Macaca fascicularis: one gene and its partners. The protein of the gene in region 1 interacts with the protein of each later gene in a biochemical or structural test. Links are inferred from orthologs where the notes say so. Each region holds a gene or a part of one and is shown on either strand. Other genes may lie near its edges.

Region 1 (4,424 bases):
TTTTAGTTGCATGAGAAAGTTTAGCAGGCTGCCATGACTACAATGCTATGGGTTTTAGATCATTTAAATGTGGTTACAGGTTTATTAAATTAAAAATGTCTGAAACATTTCAGCACTCATATTTTTATACAAGAAGTTTGTGTGGTATCCATCTTCCAGTTCTCTCGGTAGCCATTTGCTTGCTTATTTTTAAGTTTTGAGAACAAACGGCAGTAAGTTGAAGCAAATACTGCTAACAGAACTTGTAAATTCAGCCTGGGGGGGGCGGTTCCTGAAAAGAGTCAAAGTAACAGCCATCTACAGGTACAGTCATGAACCAGGAAAGTGCAATCCAAATGAAAAAATTCATGCTTTGCAAAAGCCAAAAATGAGGCCACTGGTGTTTTCAGAATAACACCAGTGCTTTGATGCTGACTTACAGTAAAATCCTCCCTCTGGGTCCCATAGCTTGGTGGCCCAGGCTGGCCACAGTCTCCACATTAGCACCCACATTGTATATGTACAGGGACATATATATTATATATATATTCATATTTATAAAAAAGAAAACAAAAACAAACACCTGTCCTGATTGGTTTTTGTTAAAACATGAAAAAAAATTTTATTGTTTTAGACAAAGAGGCCACTTTTGGAAAATAATACTTTTTTTTTTTTAGTTGAATCAGGTGAAGACAGAGTTAAAATCACATAGGATTTGCATTTTTAAAAAAGGAAAGCACTAGGATTGTTGGCACTGGAGTAACTATTTACACTGAACAGAGGTTTGGCCTTTTACATAACATCGATACAATGCATTTTCCAAAGTCTGAGAAATAACAAGGTTCTGTCTCGAATGCTTCACAGAGGAGGTTCGGATTTGGGGACAAGTGTCATTAATGAGGGCCATGGAAGTTCGTCAGCTTCAGAGTCACATGCAATCTGATCCTGGGCGGTTCTGCTGCTGGGGAGCAGCCGGCTACGGAATTGAAAGCTAATGGGGAGGGGTGGGGCAGCCTCTAGGACAAGGCCTCTCTCCGCAGACCCGGGCCTTACAGGTTTTCACCAGGTTGGTACTGGGGCTCTGTGGCGGTAAAGTAGTCTTCCAGGAAGCTCTGCAAGTACTCAAAAGTAGGGCGTTCTTCAGGGTCCTTTTTCCAGCAGTGGATCATGAGCTCGTGCAGAGAGATGGGGCAGTCCTGCGGGCAGGGCATCCTGTAGCCTCGCTCCACCTGCTCCAGCACCTCCCGGTTGTTCATGCCTGCAAAGACAAGGGCAGTGAGAGTGGGCACCCCGGGGCTCCAGGCCCTGACCGCCACACTTGCAGATCCCCTTTCTTCTTCTTTGCATCTGCAGGTGGCTAAAACATGTGAAGTGCCCCCATTCCCCCCAGGAGTCAAACCTTGCCATGCTACTCAGAAATAAAGGAGTGCAGAACCGAGACATGCAAAAATCCAGAATGACTCTCCAAAGCAATATAAGTGAAGCAAGCCAGACACAAAAGGCAACATACTGTATGATTTCATTTATGCGAAATTCTAGAAAAGGCACAACTACATCTACAGAAAGCAGATCAGTGGCTGCCTGGGGAGGGGAGGAATCCCTGCAAAGGGGCCAGAAGGATCTCCAAGTGGGATGGGAATGTTCAGTGTCAGGGTCAATGGGTCAACAAGCTTTTCCTGTAAAAGGCCAGACAGTAAATATTTTTGGCTTTGTGGGTCACATATGATCCCTGTCTTCTTCTTTTTAACAACCCTTTAAAAATGTACAAAACACACACAGGTTGGGGGCCAGATCTGCCAACCCCTGTTCTATATTATGTATGGGGTGGTGTGACTGTTTATGTTTGTCAAAACTCAATAAACTGCATTCTTAAAATTGTTGAATTTTATTGTGTGTAAATTATACTTCAATTAAACTGACAAAAATATATGAATAAAGCAGACAAAAAAATCCACACAGAATGAAAGCATGCTGCCCCTTGTTTATAGCATTTATAAACTCCATTTATGAACTTCATAAATTTGTTTTCCTCATGCTTGGGCAAACTCCTAGTTCCTCACTGTGGGAAATCTGCCATCATGCCAGCGTGGCTGGGCACTGTCTGGCCCTGTGACCCCACTGCCCTGAGGTTTGGTGAATCTGATGGGGAGACAGACCATGTCCGGGGCCTATCTCTACTGATGACCTCAGCCAGGCCATCCATCATCTGAGGTCTTCCTGACTCTGGGGAAGCTGCTGAAACACTGGGCTGCATAGCACTAACAGAAGACAGATCATTAACTCCTTAGAGAGTGCGGACTCCTGCACACTGGCCGCCTTAACACTACAGGAACTACCATGCTTAGGGGGTGGCCAATGTCCTGACCTCTTCCCAACTACTGCCGACCACTGTTCTCTAGTTTTGCTTCCCTTTTTCATTAGATCACCTTCTGGCAGCTCCCTGTCAAGCTGTGCTATCCTTTGGTTGCTTCCTGGCTGGTGAGGCTGTCATCTGGAATCCTCCCCAATTTCTGACCTGGTTAATTTGCAGGAGCAAGAACTCGACGTCAAGCCATATAGAAACCAAGATTTCTTCCCCTCTTTCCCAGGGCTACAGCCAGCAGGAGCACACACCATACGCATGGAGCTCGCTCCCTTTACTTCCAGGGGAGGTGGTGACCTGCTAGCTGGAAACCTGTCAGCACAGCCAGAGGCGCTGGCCCAGAGCACAGCCTGTCCCCCTGGGCAGGGAACACTCAGACTTTGGGGTCTGTTGCCAGTCCTCGTGGTTGTGTTGTTACTTGCAGAGCTGAGTGCATCCTGGCTCCTCCTGGCTGTCAACCACAGCCCGTCCGTCGCACGTCCCTCCAGACCTTTTCAGGATGCTTTCTTACTCTCTGCCATGATCATTTCTTGAGATAATAAAAATTCATATATTATTTCTGCTGTACTGAAGTAGGCCTTCAATGCAATTGTCGTAAAATAACCTCACTCACGTGTCAGGGCGACCCCTTATTTCAGAGAGAGAGGTTTGGTGAGGGAGTCAGGGTCCCTGCCTCTGTGCCATGCATGCCTTTCCAGTGACTTCCTCAGTTGCTTGGGCAGAGGGAGAGGCAGCACTGTGGCTAATTAGCCTACATCCTCCTCCAATGGCTGAAAACGGGGGATGGGGGCGGGGGAGCTGGAAGCAAGGGAGGAACTGGAGCTGCTCGGGAATGAAAGGCAGGCTTCTCTTTGGGCTCTAGACAAATGCGGTCAGAGGCCAGCATTTCCTTCTCCACAATTCCGCAATCCAACAAGCTCTGAACACCATCAAGTTTTTGTAACTCACTTGACTGCAGAACTGATCTGAACTGACCTCATTTGGCCACAAAACCTGAAATGGTTACGACACTATTTACTGTTTCTATTTCTTCATACGTATTGCCCAGAAAGATTAGGAAGGAAGAGTGTGTAATCACATAGCAGAATTGGCATTCTCCAAAGCATTTGCCTTGCCGCATCTTTCAGTACAGTCCTTGGTTTCATATTTCAGCAACGACAGAGCTTGGACCTGCAGAAATCTCCTGTGTCTCTGTCCCTTCCAGGAGCCCACAGGAACTGGAGGGGAGACAGGCAGAAGGGCCTGACAGATCCTTCTGGGGGTGGTACAGCCCCTGAAATGCCTCCTAATGCTTGACGCTGGCTCTGAGTGCCGCCACCCAAAATGGCAGCACAGAATTTAATCATTTTCCTATTCTCCACAGAGTGCATGTCAGTACGTGCTTCATTTCATTAAAAAACTACTAGCCGGGCGCGGTGGCTCAAGCCTGTAATCCCAGCACTTTGGGAGGCCGAGGCGGGTGGATCACGAGGTCAGGAGATCGAGACTATCCTGGCTAACATGGTGAAACCCCGTCTCTACTAAATATACAAAAAACTAGCCGGGCGTGGTGGCGGGCGCCTGTAGTCTCAGCTACTTGGGAGGCTGAGGCGGGAGAATGGCGTGAACCCGGGAGGCGGAGCTTGCAGTGAGCCAAGATCACGCCACTGCACTCCAGCCTGGGAGACACAGCGAGACTCTGTCTCAAAAAAAAAAAAAAAAAAAAAAAAAAAAAAACACTACTCAAACGGAAAGATTTCACTTAAAAATAAAGTTTTCATCCAATGTCTGCCAGTGGAAAGTTTAATTGGCCACTGGGTCATTTTTCCAGTGCTCAGTCCAAGCCTTGGACACAGCAGACTTGGTGATGTGAACCTCAACATGTAGTGTCTTCCGAGGCAGTCTGCTTCCTGGGCATTTGGAGGCCAGGGGATAGGGTATAAGCTGGACTATGCAGGGCCCTGGCAGACCCACAGGGTCAGGCTCCTTCTCGCTCTCCCCCTTTTCCTGTCTGAACCCCTCTGCTCTTCCCCACTCCTCTTCTCATGTTTTCTTCTGCGCAGACCTCTCAAAGCATGGGAAGCGTATGAAAACAATTCCACGC
Region 2 (3,651 bases), on another chromosome or scaffold:
TGGTGGTGCACTGCTTCCATCAACATCATGGGTTACGGTAGGTTTACCTGCCATAAACCTGCAAATGCAAGCCCCACCCAGAGAGAAGGACAGGACTGGGCAAGGCCAGGAGTGGGGCTGGAGGCAGGGAGGCCATGGGCTGTGGGTTCTAAGGCTTACCCTTCCCCATATAGCGAGTCTTATCATTGTCCCGGAGTTCTAGGGCCTCATAGATACCAGTTGAAGCACCACTGGGCACAGCAGCTCTGAAGAGACCTGGATGAGAAGAAAAAAAGTCATAGTAGCAATTCAGAAATCCAGTTCCAGCACAATCCCAAGTCCCCTCCCGCCCACAAATGCATTTGTCATCAGGGAGCTGTTTCTTCCTCCTACCACCTGCGTGAATTAAACACTCTGGTCTGTTCTTCGTGCCTCTCACATATTTATGATCCTGTACTGCAGACTTTACTGCAAAGATGACTGATTCCTCTAGCAGAAAGAAAGTGCTCTATAGCAGAGCCTACATGCCAGCTGGGGGTCTTGTTAAAATGTAGATTCCGACCCAGGAAAATATGTGTACCTCACAAGCTCGCGTTGGTGCCCTGTGGATTACCCCAGCAGCACTGCCCAAGAGAAATCCAATGCAAGGCACACAGGGAACTGAAGATGTTCTGGTATTTTTTTTTTTTTTTTAGAGTCTCGCTGTATCCCCCAGGCTGGAGTGCATGGGGTGATCTCGGCTTACTGCAACCTCCATCTCCTGGGTTCAAGCAATTCTCCTTCATCAGCCTCCCCAGTAGCTGGGATTATAGGAGCATGCCACCACGCCCGGCTAATTTTTGTATTTTCAGTAGAGACAGCGTTTCACCATGTTGGCCAGGCTGGTCTTGAACTCCTGACCTCAAGTATCTGCCCATCTCGGTCTCCCAAAATGCTGGGTTTACAGGCGTGAGCATCACACCCAGGCAGGTACTATATTGATGTTAAGCATAAAATCAAGGGAATTTAACTGGTTCAGGAAGAGTATCTAGCTCATTTGCTTCAGTTTGGACAATGCTAAATCCTATTTTGGGAGTTCTATGCCCAACTGGAAACTGGCAAACAGGATAGATGTGGGGGGAAGGAATAAACATAATAAAATGCAGTTTAATAAATGTAAGAAAGTTCCATTCATTTCAATTTCAAAATGTCCGCCTCCCAACAATCTTTTAGCGTCTGGGGTCTTTTGTTGCTTTAAAGTTCATTAGGCCGGGTGCGGTGGCTCAAGCCTGTAATCCCAGCACTGTGGGAGGCCGAGACGGGCGGATCACGAGGTCAGGAGATCGAGACCATCCTGGCTAACATGGTGAAACCCCATCTCTACTAAAAAATACAAAAAACAACTAGCCGGGCGCGGTGGCGGGCGCCTGTAGTCCCAGCTACTCGGGAGGCTGAGGCAGGAGAATGACGTAAACCCAGGAGGCGGAGCTTGCAGTGAGCTGAGATCCGGCCACTGCACCCCAGCCTGGGCGACAGAGCGAGACTCCCTCTCAAAAAAAAAAAAAAAAAAAAAAAAAAGTTCATTAATTTCTAAGCAGAAAGTTCCACCCATTCACTAAGCAAACCAATCTTATTGGATGAAGGGAATTCTCAGCATCCTGTGAGAGCCCTCAGGATTCCCCATAAAGCGAGTGTCCTAGAGAAAACCCACTGTGCTTGAGAGCCCACACAGCAAGCAGCCAAAGGCAGAACACAGGCATTCTTCAGAAGCCCAATGAAGTCGGGCCTCAAGGATCCTTTCTTCCTGAGGGGTAGGGGAGGTGCAAGGGGAAGGGAAGGGCTGGGGTTCCACTGCCAGGCCTGTGACTCACAGACGATGACTCAGCTCCGACTGGCAGTTCTCTGGGAGTTTAGCACCACTGAGTGATTCTGCCTGAAGCTCCTTTGCCAACCTCACCCACTCTGTCCATCGCACCATGTGCTGAAAGTAACACAGGGCTACAGAGGCACTGGATTTTCTTCTTAAAAGAAAGAGTTTAGGCCGGGCGCGGTGGCTCAAGCCTGTAATCCCAGCACTTTGGGAGGCCGAGACGGGCGGATCACGAGGTCGGGAGATCGAGACCATCCTGGCTAACATGGTGAAACCCCGTCTCTACTAAAAATACAAAAAACTAGCTGGGCGAGGTGGCGGCGCCTGTAGTCCCAGCTACTGGGGAGGCTGAGGCAGGAGAATGGCGGAAACCCGGGAGGCGGAGCTTGCAGTGAGCTGAGATCCGGCCACTGCACTCAAGCCTGGGCGGCAAAGCGAGACTCCGTCTCAAAAAAAAAAAAAAAAAAAAAAAAAGAAGGAGTTTCACCATTCTGTTATTTTTTCATAAGAAAACTCCTCCTATGGGGACTGACAGCCAAGCAAAAATGAGAGCCTCTGCACTATTCCAGAGCCCACAGGTAAAAACTGTCCTTGATCCTTGCTAAAGAGTGATTTCTAGACACAGAGATAAGGGTGCTACATTCACGTCTACTGGCCCTCCCCTCATCTCTTTCCCTCATGGTATCACCTTACTTCATGAGGGAAAAGTATGGTAATACCTTACTTCAGTGAGCTATCACCTCAACTGACTTAGGAGTCAACTTATGTGGTTTTAAGCCAAGAAGCTGGCAGGGTCAGACGTGGTGGCTCACACCTATAATCCCAGCACTTTGGGAGGCTGAGGCGGGCGGATCACCTGGGGTCAGGAGTTCGAGACCAGCCTGACCACTATGGTGAAACCCCGTCTCTACCAAAAATGCAAAAATTGCCGGGCGTGGTGGTGCACGCCTGTAGTCCCAGCTACTTGGGAGGCTGAGACAGAAGAATTGCTTGAACCCGGGAGGCGGAGGTTGCAGTGAGCTGAAATCATGCCACCACACTCCAGCCTGGGTGACAGAGCAAGACATCTCAAAAAACAAACAAAAAGCCAGGAAGCAGCAAGACACTGGCTCCATGCCTGAAAATCCCCCAACCCTCACAGTCAGGAATCACAACCTACTAGCATATGCAGATACAAAAAAAGCTTATATATATATATATATATATATATTTTTTTTTTTTTTTTGCCTAAGGCTCCAGCATTTGTAGAAAATTTGTAAAATGAAGCGAGGTAGAAGCAACTCTGGAAACGAAGGTGGCACATACCTTTTGAGGTGAAGAGATCAACCTCAACAGTGGGATTCCCACGAGAGTCAAAGATCTCCCTGGCATGGACCTTGAGAATAGACATGGTGAATTTCTGTAGGAGAAACACACAGTTCATGTTTTCCATAAGCCATAATGCTGTATTTGCTCACTCATTCAAGGAATCACTTCTGAGGTTCATGGACTACAAACAATCGGCATTGAATTAAATACTGGATGTAGGAAAGTTGATTAGGGTGGGGGAAAAAGCCTGCTGGAAAGCAGTGGGAATTCTCCTAAGTAAGTAGTTAGGGCCGAGCTCCGAAAGGCCTTAACCTATTTATGCCTAGTGTTCCATTACTGGAACGCTAAGTGTGTGGAGTTATTTTTATCTGACTGCTCAAGTCATCACCAAGGCCTGATTTTTCACAAAAAAGATTTGCAACCTCCGGCATAAATGGGTTAAACCACAGCAACTGAGGTCTTGTTCTGTAAGCAAAAAGGAAAAAAAAAAAGAGAGAGGGAGAGAAAGCCCACAA
Region 3 (2,838 bases), on another chromosome or scaffold:
ATTCCAAAGGAGTTACTATAATCTTTAATGATAACAAAGTCTAGGGAGAGCCCATGATAGCAAGTGGTTGAATAAAATAGGAAAAGGCCATTGTGAATGACAAGCATGAGAATACAAGAAACAAGGTGTTTACATGGATCCCACAGATCAGTGGCCTCTGGAGAATGAAGTGGCTCTAATAGGATGGCTTAGTAGTGGTAGAAACCATTTTTTGATATTCTATATGTCTGATACTTTCAGCTCTTTTTTTGTTCAAGGAAGGTCAAGTGACCTAACCAGTGATTACCTAGGCAGTACATGGAAGAACAAAGATTCAAATCTAAGTTTTTTAGTCCAAAGTGTGTGCCCTTTCCACTGTGCCGTAGTTCTGCCTTCAGGAAAATATAATTTCTCATCAAATCCATGGAAAGTTGGGTAAGCTTAACACTGGTCACAATATTGGTAACGGAAACTCTGGGAGGTGAAGAGGAAAGAGAATATATATAGAGAAGGAAGCCTTGGCAAAGGCAGAAAGATTTGCTTCATAATTCTTCTCACCCCAGTAAATTCTTCTTAAAGTTGTCTGACATCATAATGAATGAAGAAACCATGGAGGAAAGAAGTAATAAGCAAAAAAATTCAAGTATTAGTAAATTCTAAAAATTATTTGTATCCTAACATATACTTTTTATTATATGTTTTCTTTTCCCAAAAAGCACAACATATATATAAATATTTATTATATTATAGGAAAACATCTTCAGTAGCTGACAATCAATTATTTCTAAAGACTATTAGAGTTGATTGTCAGGAAGCATTCAAAATCTTCACCAAATGCAACCCATATTTTCCTAATATGTACTTCACAATATCTATATTCTCTCTTTAGACACACACACACACACACACACACACACACACCTACAATTGCACTGGAAATACACAGGCTGTGTTAGGAATGGAATGAGTCCCCAGAATATCTCTCTTGTTTCTATGTTAGCTTCACTGATGGCTCAGGAGATGCGTTTAGAAGTGAAGATGCTGCCAGTGGGGCATTGGCCTCTTTCAGCCTCTTTAGCTTATTATGCAAGCCTCTAGTCCTCCTTTTCCATCCCTTAAACCCTCAGGTCACAACCATGTATCTGAAAGACAGTCCCCCTTGAGGTAGCAAGGCCCACCCTGAGAGGTGAGTTAAAAGGTGTCCTTTTCAATGTGCCCAAATACTCTCAGGCACTAAGATGAGTGTAGAACACCTGGTGGCTGCTTTTTCATGCTTCTGCCTCTTCACATGGCAGCCCAGAGTTTTACGTTCTTCCGTCATATTCCTCCATTTGTCTGGCTCATAAACGTTAGGTGAGTTGAGGAGCTACAGACCTTTTGAACCCTGTGGTCTCAAGGTCCACTTGGTTCACGTCTTCTTACTTGACCTCAAATGCATGTAAGGAGACCCTCACTGAATACAACATTTTCAGTGCCTATAACAAAGAATAATAATGGAAAGAATCCCAAAGTGCTTTCCTTAGAGCTTATATAGGCCAAAAAATGTCTGAGATTCCTCAAAATTGACCAGAGAGAGCTCAGATACATTGACATATAAATGATCAGCACTGGTAAGATTGAACACTGCCCCCAGGTAGCTGCTGTGGGCCCACATCTGCCCAGTAGTGCAGTAGCTCATCATCTTCCCCTCCATCATCACCAGATCCTGGGGATACTTAGAGTTCCTCATGTAGACCTTGTGGCTCAGGGGCAGGTTGGTGCAAGATTGACCCCGGAAGTATACTTTGGAATATACAAAGTACAGCCCAGTTTCATTGATCACAAGGCCACCCTTCTTATATTTCACTCCAGAAAGCAGGACAATTCCATAGGTGTCTTCCCATTCCAGAGGCATGGACCTTGAGTTGGGCTTGCCTGAAATAAATCCGAAAGGAGCTTTCAGCCAGGAATAGTCATGCATCCAACAAACTAAGTTTCTAAGGCAAAACTGTGGGCCCTTCCTTGAACAAATGTTCTACTCAGAATTACAGCCTGTATAGAACTGGCTGAGGGGTCAGAACTTGATCCATCACAGAATTTCCTCAACATTGTTGTCCTATTTTGTCATCCACACAATTAGAACAATAGTATAGTCGCCTAATCCATTGCAGTAAGAAATTATTGAGAAAATATTAGCTCTCTGGAGCACAAAGATTTTATTATCTTCAGAACTAGCACCCAAACTGCTAGGCTTTGAAGTCCTTTCCTGAAGAAAAAAGCCAAATCCAAGGAACTCTAAAATTCTAAAGTTGGGAAGGATCTTAGGGACCATCTGGTCCATCATCTCACCTGCAGTAAGAATTATTCAGCCCCTCAGTTTGGGGTACAGTTTCCTTTTCTTTGTATCCCCACAACGTCATGAACATAACCTAAATCTCTGCAGTACTGAAATTATCATAAATGCCTGTCTTTCCCTATTAGATGTCAAGCTCCCTGAGGGCAAGAGCCATATGCTACTCATTTTCACATCCCCAAATTGGTGCACATCAGGTATTGAGTAAGTGTCTGCTGATGTGACCGGATCATTCTACAATTTCTGCCTAAATAATTCCAGGGACAATAGCCTACCACTTTCTGTGATATTTATTCCATTATTTATGATTTATTTTTTTGGGAGTTTATAATGGGAGTGCCCATACCATATCATTTCACTCCACTTTACAGGCACATATTGAAAGTCTACAAGTGCCAGGAGTGAGTCTCCCTTCTTGCTCCTGTTTATACTCTTGGACAAAGCAGAGTGAAGCTCTTCCAAAAAACCAAGAAAGCGCTGACTAAAACAAGTCCTCATTCCTCACCTTCTCAGCTCTCACCTCTTGG

Evidence for each region.
Region 2: of the proteins of FYN (region 1) and ENO1, one has a biochemical effect on the other in vitro, tested with the Homo sapiens proteins (2 studies listed by BioGRID). The link is inferred for Macaca fascicularis from reciprocal best matches to the Homo sapiens genes FYN and ENO1.
Region 3: the proteins of FYN (region 1) and FASLG form a complex in vitro, tested with the Homo sapiens proteins (4 studies listed by BioGRID and IntAct, with this or other methods). The link is inferred for Macaca fascicularis from reciprocal best matches to the Homo sapiens genes FYN and FASLG.

The regions. Positions count from the first base shown.
Region 1 is NC_088378.1:15,714,464-15,718,887, forward strand, and holds the end of FYN (tyrosine-protein kinase Fyn), read right to left. Parts: intron 1,238-4,424; coding exon 1,029-1,237; 3' UTR 576-1,028; downstream 1-575. UniProt on the Homo sapiens protein: Non-receptor tyrosine-protein kinase that plays a role in many biological processes including regulation of cell growth and survival, cell adhesion, integrin-mediated signaling, cytoskeletal remodeling, cell motility, immune response and axon guidance.
Region 2 is NC_088375.1:225,985,667-225,989,317, reverse strand, and holds part of ENO1 (alpha-enolase), read right to left. Parts: intron 3,228-3,651; 5' UTR 3,219-3,227; coding exon 3,134-3,218; intron 256-3,133; coding exon 160-255; intron 1-159. UniProt on the Homo sapiens protein: Glycolytic enzyme the catalyzes the conversion of 2-phosphoglycerate to phosphoenolpyruvate. In addition to glycolysis, involved in various processes such as growth control, hypoxia tolerance and allergic responses.
Region 3 is NC_088375.1:30,271,194-30,274,031, reverse strand, and holds the end of FASLG (tumor necrosis factor ligand superfamily member 6), read right to left. Parts: intron 1,894-2,838; coding exon 1,499-1,893; 3' UTR 646-1,498; downstream 1-645. UniProt on the Homo sapiens protein: Cytokine that binds to TNFRSF6/FAS, a receptor that transduces the apoptotic signal into cells. Involved in cytotoxic T-cell-mediated apoptosis, natural killer cell-mediated apoptosis and in T-cell development.